Oreochromis niloticus: one gene and its partner. The protein of the gene in region 1 binds, or shares a complex with, the protein of each later gene. Links are inferred from orthologs where the notes say so. Each region holds a gene or a part of one and is shown on either strand. Other genes may lie near its edges.

Region 1 (3,922 bases):
CAACCCAACAAGATCATAGGACTGCCAGTAGGATAGTAGATGGTGGATGAGTTTTTTGCACTGTGAGACTGATAAATGGACTGTGCCCCATCCCCACTCACACTGTAAGACCCACAAACCAGGGGCGGATCTAGAGAAATGTTCTTAGGCTAGCATGGAAATCAAATGGGGTGGCAAAATCAAAGCCTTTTTTAAAGACATAGGTCTTTAAAAAAGGTGTTACATATAGTTAAAATGATTCAAATGCAGTAAGTATACGTGTTTCAAATAAATATAGTATATCACTTCATTATTTTCTGTAGCCCGCCTAATTAAACATTTCAGTTACATAAAACATGTGAATTTTGATTTTATGTCCTGTATAGCCTGTAAATATAAAATAATAAATAAATATGTAGCCCAATAAGCATAAAAATATTTTACCATAAAAACAACAGACATGTTTAATAAATTATTTTAAAACTTTAAAATTAAATATAAATTGTAAATTTTGAAAACTTATTCACAAATTTTGTAAACAATAAAGTTTACAAAATCTACTGAAAACAAGAAATAAAGCCAGTCTGCGCCATGGGTTAAACCATTTGTTAACGGTGTGTGTGTGTGCAATATCAGTTTTAGGATTTATATTCATTTTTAATTGTTGCTGGGCTCAAAGTGTTAAGGCTACCTTATTTGTACTTAAAAATAACAGTCACATGCAAAACTAGGGTGGCACTAGGGGTGACAAGAGATCATTTTAGGGTGCCACCCTATGCCAACTTATGCCACCCCTCTAGATCCGTCCCTGCCACAAACGGGCTTTTTCATTTTCCAAAAGTCTCGTTTTATCGAACAAAAATCTGCCCGGGGTTCACACTCCCACCGCTTGGGGGCGGTAATGCAGCGTTAACACCACACCGAGGAAGGCGGAGGCTGACAGCGAGCGGCGGGGTTTAGGACCCGGTGGGCTGCGCGGTACAATAGGGCCGTTGTGGCGTGTTGGTGTCCGGGCAGCAGAGCTGGATCCTCCCGTTGAGCTACGGGGACAGAAGTACCTAGTCCGGAACCAGAGCCCGGGCCGAAGCCGTGTGAGGACCGTGTGAGCAGAATAACGCAGGCGGCAGCGGCGGGACTGCAGGTATGAGCGGGAAAATGTGAACAATATGGTTTCGAGGTGAGCCTGAGCTCTGGGCTCTGCCCTGGACGGTCCCTTCAGGCCCGGGGCCTGCGCGCTCTCTGGGGCTGTCCTGCCTCTTTACCCCGGAACCACCAGCGGCTGGTAGGCTCCCGGGGTATGAACCCAGCGGAGCAGCACAGATGCCCGCCTCAGAGGCTCTGAGGAAGTGACATCTTTGAGTGATTGAGGCGCCCATGTTTGATTTCCCAGCCCGCGGGCAGGCCTTACAGTTTGGCGCCAACACTTTACACAGGTGTGTGAGGCTTTCTTTCAGGTGAGCCAAGAAACGGCACAAAACAGGAGGAGGGAGGGAAGTAAACAGTGTGGTAGCCTTTTCTCATCGTTTCCTGTCAGGTGAGCTTTTTAAACAACCTGACGTCATATCCGTGCGCCCTCCCTCCACAGGTTAGATGTCAGGTGGAGAACACCTGCCACATCTTCCTGTGGAGTAATGACATCTTATATATATAAACCTGTTTGAACAGCCTCCACACACTGTACATAAAAGATGGAGGGAACACTCATCGTCAGTGTTGAACCCTCAGCATCGAAGTGGTAGCTGCTGCCATACTGGTTGTATTTGGGGGCAGAAGTGAGCCCACTGTTTAGTATTAGTACCTACTCGGGTAGGCTCGTTGCGGTTTTTCGGGTTCTCTGTTAGGTCATAGTACCTGGTACTTTTTTGTACATACTCCACCGGGGTTCTGATTGGCTAGTCAATGGCATCACTTGAGAAGTCATGAGAGTGTCTCCTTCATGAAAATTAGAACCACTAGTTAAAAAACCTGGAACAAGGAAATTGGCAACACAGAAACAATACTGTGGTCCCCGAGTCCATGAGGGAGTCTATGAGAACTAACTCACTGCTGCCTCTGCCGGACAATAAAGGAACTGCAGCCTCTGGTGCTTAAGGTTACTGGAAAGTCGAGTAGAAAAGCACAAACACGGAGTGAAAATATGATTCTTGTTCATCAGGGAGAACCCGCGGTTCTATTTACAACACTCTAAGTTGACTTGAGCTGCTCACGTGAGGTGTACGTCACTATGCTATGGCAAGGAGAGGGGCTCCTGGCTCCTCCTCTTCCTCGTGTCTTCATGGGGAATGTCAGGCATGTGCCGCCTGTTGAAACAGCGTCGCTCTGGCCTCTTCGACCTCTTGTTTATTGACACAGATATGCTTTAAAAGTTAAAAAAAACAAAACAAATATTTTTAAGAAGAACTGCTATAAGGCTTTGTTGTGTGAGATGAGTCACTATACCTGTGTCTTTATGACACCTGTGAGGCAGGTGAGTGCTGCTCCGTCCTTCACAGATAGAGACGCAACACAAAGTAATAAAACAAAAGTGATCGTATGGGATGATGACGCGTTTAAAGCAAGTGAATTAGAAAGTTACAGCAGGGATACAATAAAATGTAAAATAATCAATAACATGTGATCAGTGAAGTAAAAGTTGTGTAATTTATAAATGTCTTTATTTACTTGTGGTTTGCAGATATGAACTGAAGCGGTCTGACAGAAGAATCTACTAGCATGCTTTTCAATTTGAAGTTTACGGTGAGTACACATTTCTTCTTCTGAACTTCCGTTGGCCTTAAAATCATCAATATTTTAATGTCATCAGCTTCTTTTGCTGCAGGATGATACAGGATGAAACGCCTCCGGTCCTCCAGCAGCAGTGACACGTCTGACAATGAGAGTGAGTTGAGCTTGCCACTTCGTTTCTGGCGTAATCATCGTTTCTAACCTGTTATGCTCTGTAACTATTTCTCTAACAACAGAAGAAAGTAATCTGTGTGCAGTCCTGCCTGTTGGTGCAAAAGAATCCAGTTTCAATAATCAGTGTGAGACGGTAGCATCATTAAAACTGGAAAATAATAAGCATGTCCTTCATTTCTTTTTATTCGCCTCTTTCTTCTTTTAGGTCCTTCGACCTCGTTCTGCTCCTCCAACAAATATGGGAGCAAACCTGGAACGCCCGCCTCCAACCAGAAGAAGCCGGCTGAGGTGCGTGTCAGACTCTGCTGAGAGTCAATAAATGTCAGGACGGCGTTTGACTACCTGTGTGCGTCTCTCTCGCCCACAGGTGTTCAGGAAAGACCTGATCAGTGCCATGAAGCTGCCTGACTCCCACCACGTCTCCCCAGAGGACTACTACCTGCTGGCAGACACCTGGAAGCAGGAGTGGGAGAAAGGAGTGCAGGTGCCAGCGAGCCCAGACACCATCCCAGAGCCGTCTGTCAGGTGAGTCCGACCGCCTCCCAAAGGTCGTAGTGTGCCACCACCTCTTCACGCAGGTACTTGAGTACGCTGATCAGCGTACTCAAGTGACAAGTTTACATGAGTCAGCCGTAGCTGAGCACATGACTACATCAGACACAGCCTCAGAGACTGAACGCTCTGGAGGAGCTCCACCCCAATGGGAACCGGCTCAGGTGTCTCATGACCCAGTGGTAGGAGCCCTGGGTGGGTGAATTCACCTGTCAGCTGGATCGGGAATGCTCCTGTGTCTCCTAGAGGAGGAGAAGAAAGGCTTCAATGTGACCACAAACCCATCTGAAAGTGCAAACAGGAGAGCGGCAGATACATTCAGCGTCAGCTGATCGTCTCGCTCTCTCAATCACAGCAGGAGGAGACATCGCAGTCATTACAGCTTTGACCTTTAAATTTGTTTGTTGGCGCTCTTTGAAGCAGGTTCTGGTTGGTTCAGCTATTCAGTCTGATGGCTGTCTACTGTTTCTGTTCAGAGTAATCGCGGAGAGGC
Region 2 (3,922 bases), about 2.2 Mb from region 1:
GCATCTGTTATTACTGAGACACTAGGAGCACATGACTGGGTGTGGCATATCCAACACAAACCTCGTGACTGTTAGCACTATTAGCAAGTTCACAAATCTATTTTCAGAAACAGAAGCTTATATAAGATAAGTTACAATAACAGCTCATGGTAATATGGCCACATGCCCAGAAATATTAACACCATGTTTAGTTACTCTGTAGTTCCCCCATGCTTAGTTAGACAATGTTTAGGACATGACATTAGTGGAAGCCAGATAACTGACAGTTCTCCTGCTTTAACCACTGTTTAGGATATTTACTTAGATGTGATCCTGGTTTTAAGTCAGACTAGGCCAGTTGTGAGTAGGTCGTCCTCATGTTTAATAACTGCTATGCCACCCATAGCAACCCTGTGATAATGTGGATTTTATATGATATAAGTTCTTTGATATGTAGGTTATTGCTAACCGTTAGCGGCTTTTTAATATAAACACGTCGCCATTACAAAGCTGACCTATCGGTTAACCGTGTTTATAATACGCTAAAACACCACAACTTGTTCTTTAACCGAGGGCATTAGTATCCGTACTTGTAAAAGCGGTGGATAAATGAGTTACTTACTTGATTTCTTGTATGCTTTTTGGGGGGAGGGTGATAGCAAGCCTTTCGTGAAGAAACAGCAAACACGGAAGTGAGATGCAAAAAAAAGAAAAAGAAGAAGACTCCTTCCACGGAGAGGAAAAACCCTGACCGCTAAACTTAGCGGACACTGTACACAACGGAGGCCTTAAGCCACGCCCACAGAGCATCTTCACGAATGTTCAGTCTTTCTGTGAGAGGGAGGTGTTTGTTTTGGATGACGTAACCTATCAGCTGACAGTGGTGGAAAGTGCTAGCAAACGGAGCGAGGGCGCGCTTGTTGAAGTTCGTTTCTAACGTTTCGCAATCACATGGCCGACGGCGAGGCTTGTGTTAATATTCCTCATGTTTATTAAACATGATTCCATTGAGAGTGTGTGTGTAACGAATTTGCTTGTTGGTTCCATCATTTCTGGCTGATACAGTTAGTTAAGAGTGCATTAAATTGGCATAGAACGCGTATAAACTAGTATAAACAATGTAGCAGAGGAGATTGGGAGCAAAGTTATGTGTTCGTAATACTTAAGTAAATGAATAGTACTTAGAAACTTTTTTATTACATGTGAGGTACCAAACGTAAAAAGTTGCGCCCTGTCCTCCAGCACGCATGTTCGGAGTGAAGGCACGCTCGGGGTAAACTGCCACTTCCTCTGTGTTTTTGTGAGCCTCGCTTCATTTAATTCGGCGAAGCCTGTGACTGCAGACAGACTCGCGTTACTCCAAGCCAACTGACCAACGGGCGACCCAGGGTTACAAAACAAACCCAACCTCTCTGGCCAACAGTTTGAGGAGCTAACGAGGGTAACGCAGAAGCTAAACAGCTAATTCGAAATGGCGACGGCAATATACTTGGAACATTACCTTGACAGTAAGTATCCGGAATGTGGTAAATTTCTGTCAACAGATAGAAAATGCAACTTTTAAAGGTTTAGTTGATTACAAATTTTTGGACAGCGGTTTCCATGCAGTGCGTTTGCAACTAACAAGCTGTTAGGTCATTAGCTCGCCAGCTAACTGGTTAGCATTGTGATATTACCTTAGCAGTGATAAAGGTACGTAAACTATTAATGTCTCTTGTCAGTTTCAGTCAAAAGGGAATCTAATAATTAACTGTTTTCACATATTTAGGAAAACTGACTGTAGGTTGCAACCTTTTCTGATTCATGCGCTAGCAATGTTGGAGCAGCCTGTAGCTACGCAACTAGCATTGGTTATATAAGGGCATTTAAAGATAAATTGTTATGTTAACCGCCTTTATATTTAATCTTTGATCATTTTAGTCACAGTTTGTGTTTTTATATAGGAAAGCATTTACAACCTGTTGGTTACCGCGTTTCCCGTAACAGTTTACGCGCCGGGTCGGGGTGTTTGAAGTGCGTCACATGGCGTACAGAGTGTATTTACTAGTCAGTTGTTGTGAATGCCCTTAATAATGTCTGCTATTGGGACAGATGTAATACATGTAAAGCGTTATTTTGTACAGACACGTTGTTACACGATAACATTCTGCAATTCATGCACACGTGAGTGTGTGGTTGTGATGGTATTTGTGTTGTTTTTAATGTGCAGATTTGACATCAAGTATTTTAAATGTTGTATAAAATGTTATGTAAGTATAATGAAAAAAATAATTTTAGCCTTTAGCATTAAAGGTGAAGAAGAGAATGCAGGCAGGATGGAGTGGGCAGAGACAAGTGTCAGGGCGGATTTGTGACAGAAGGATAGCAGGAAGACTGAAAGGGTTGAGTAGGTAGGTGGTAGAGAACGCTAACAAACAGACAGAAGGTAGTCAAGCTAAAGATTATGATTTTCATTGGGAGTGACCAGGTGGAACAGAATTAGACCCATAAAGTGAGGAGGTAGAACAAGAAAGGCTTCAGTGTAAAACGTAATGATTTCTAGGTTGTAATTATTGTCATAATAACCTCCATTCTTTACTTCTTATTTATATTTCTATGGTTTTGAAGTATTCAGTTGAGTTTGTGCATTTGACTTTTTACAAAGGCAATTAATTAAGTGTGATGATTAAGTTCAGAAAATGTAATTGGAATGAACTGTTAGGCATTAATATTGTCTAATCTCTTCTTTAGGTATTGAAAACTTGCCATGTGAGCTACAAAGGAACTTCACTTTGATGCGAGACCTGGACAACAGAACTGAAGGTGATAATTTAATCTCTTAACATTACAGTCAATAAAAAGCTCTGCGGACTTATACAAAATAAACAAATGGCTCTGACAGTATAATCTGCGATACCTGAAAACCCAGTTTAGCCATGCTCCTTATGTGTTAGGTTGTACCACTTACCAGTAGTCTTAGACAAACAGTTGTCAATAGTTTACATCCACTCACTTTCGACCCTTTGTGACTAGAGAAAATCCAAAATATATTCAAACTTATGCATCCAAGTCTTGTTTTATAAGGGTATTAAAGATGTATGCTATGCAGTCATTCCACCCTGGAATAAGAACAGTTCAAGGAAATAATTTAAAGGAAATCATTAATTCATAACAAGAGATACGAACTCTATATATACATTAAGGTTAAAGGCATATTAAGTTAGCAGATTCTAATTTCAGTATAATATACAGAAATGAACAGGATTATTAAATTATTAGATTTTGCTATGGAGTTCAGAGCTCTTGTGGGTAAGCAACCTACCAGCCAATCAGATAACAGTATTCCTTGTTGCTGTGGTAAATCTTTTCCCACCTTAATGTATATCAATGTTACAAACATTACATTGTAACATATTGATATGTTAGATTTGCATGAAACCAAATAATTTATTCAAAACAAAATAATAGATTTTTATTTTTTTAAATATTTTTTCCTGTTTTATGTTTTTTAAATTTCAAAACTTAAACTTAAATGAATAAAACATTTGACCCTATTTTAGCTCTATGCAAACTTACCATGGCATTCATGCCTGTATGAAAACGTCTGACCACAACTGTAAATAGGAAGCTTACATGTAATATTTTATCACTAGTTTTATCCAGCACTATAATGATCATGTTGTTGTGCAGAAAAGAAAGGAGAGATCGATAAACTGGCTGAAGAGTACATCGCAAATGTCAAGAATCTAGCTTCTGAGCAGAGAGTGGAACACCTGCAGAAGATCCAGAATGCCTACAGCAAGTGCAAAGAGTTCAGTGATGACAAAGTCCAGCTCGCAATGCAGACATATGAAATGGTTAGTCCGAAACAATGTGTGTCCTGTCACTGTCCACTGATTCTAATGTCATATTATAGTCATTTTTGTCGCCGTTTTATCAGATTTACATCCTCAATGTGTACATG

Evidence for each region.
Region 2: jade3 (region 1) and ing5a share a complex: the UniProt entries of both Homo sapiens proteins name them as parts of the HBO1 complex. The link is inferred for Oreochromis niloticus from reciprocal best matches to the Homo sapiens genes JADE3 and ING5.

What each region holds. Positions count from the first base shown.
Region 1 is NC_031986.2:35,881,237-35,885,158, reverse strand, and holds the start of jade3 (protein Jade-3), read left to right. Parts: upstream 1-869; 5' UTR 870-1,120; intron 1,121-1,126; exon of another isoform or gene 1,127-1,513; intron 1,514-2,653; 5' UTR 2,654-2,715; intron 2,716-2,797; 5' UTR 2,798-2,808; coding exon 2,809-2,857; intron 2,858-3,082; coding exon 3,083-3,165; intron 3,166-3,244; coding exon 3,245-3,402; intron 3,403-3,905; coding exon 3,906-3,922. UniProt on the Homo sapiens protein: Scaffold subunit of some HBO1 complexes, which have a histone H4 acetyltransferase activity.
Region 2 is NC_031986.2:38,130,594-38,134,515, forward strand, and holds the start of ing5a (inhibitor of growth protein 5a), read left to right. Parts: upstream 1-926; 5' UTR 927-1,450; coding exon 1,451-1,487; intron 1,488-2,285; exon of another isoform or gene 2,286-2,369; intron 2,370-2,709; coding exon 2,710-2,781; intron 2,782-3,648; coding exon 3,649-3,815; intron 3,816-3,922. UniProt on the Homo sapiens protein: Component of the HBO1 complex, which specifically mediates acetylation of histone H3 at 'Lys-14' (H3K14ac) and, to a lower extent, acetylation of histone H4. Component of the MOZ/MORF complex which has a histone H3 acetyltransferase activity.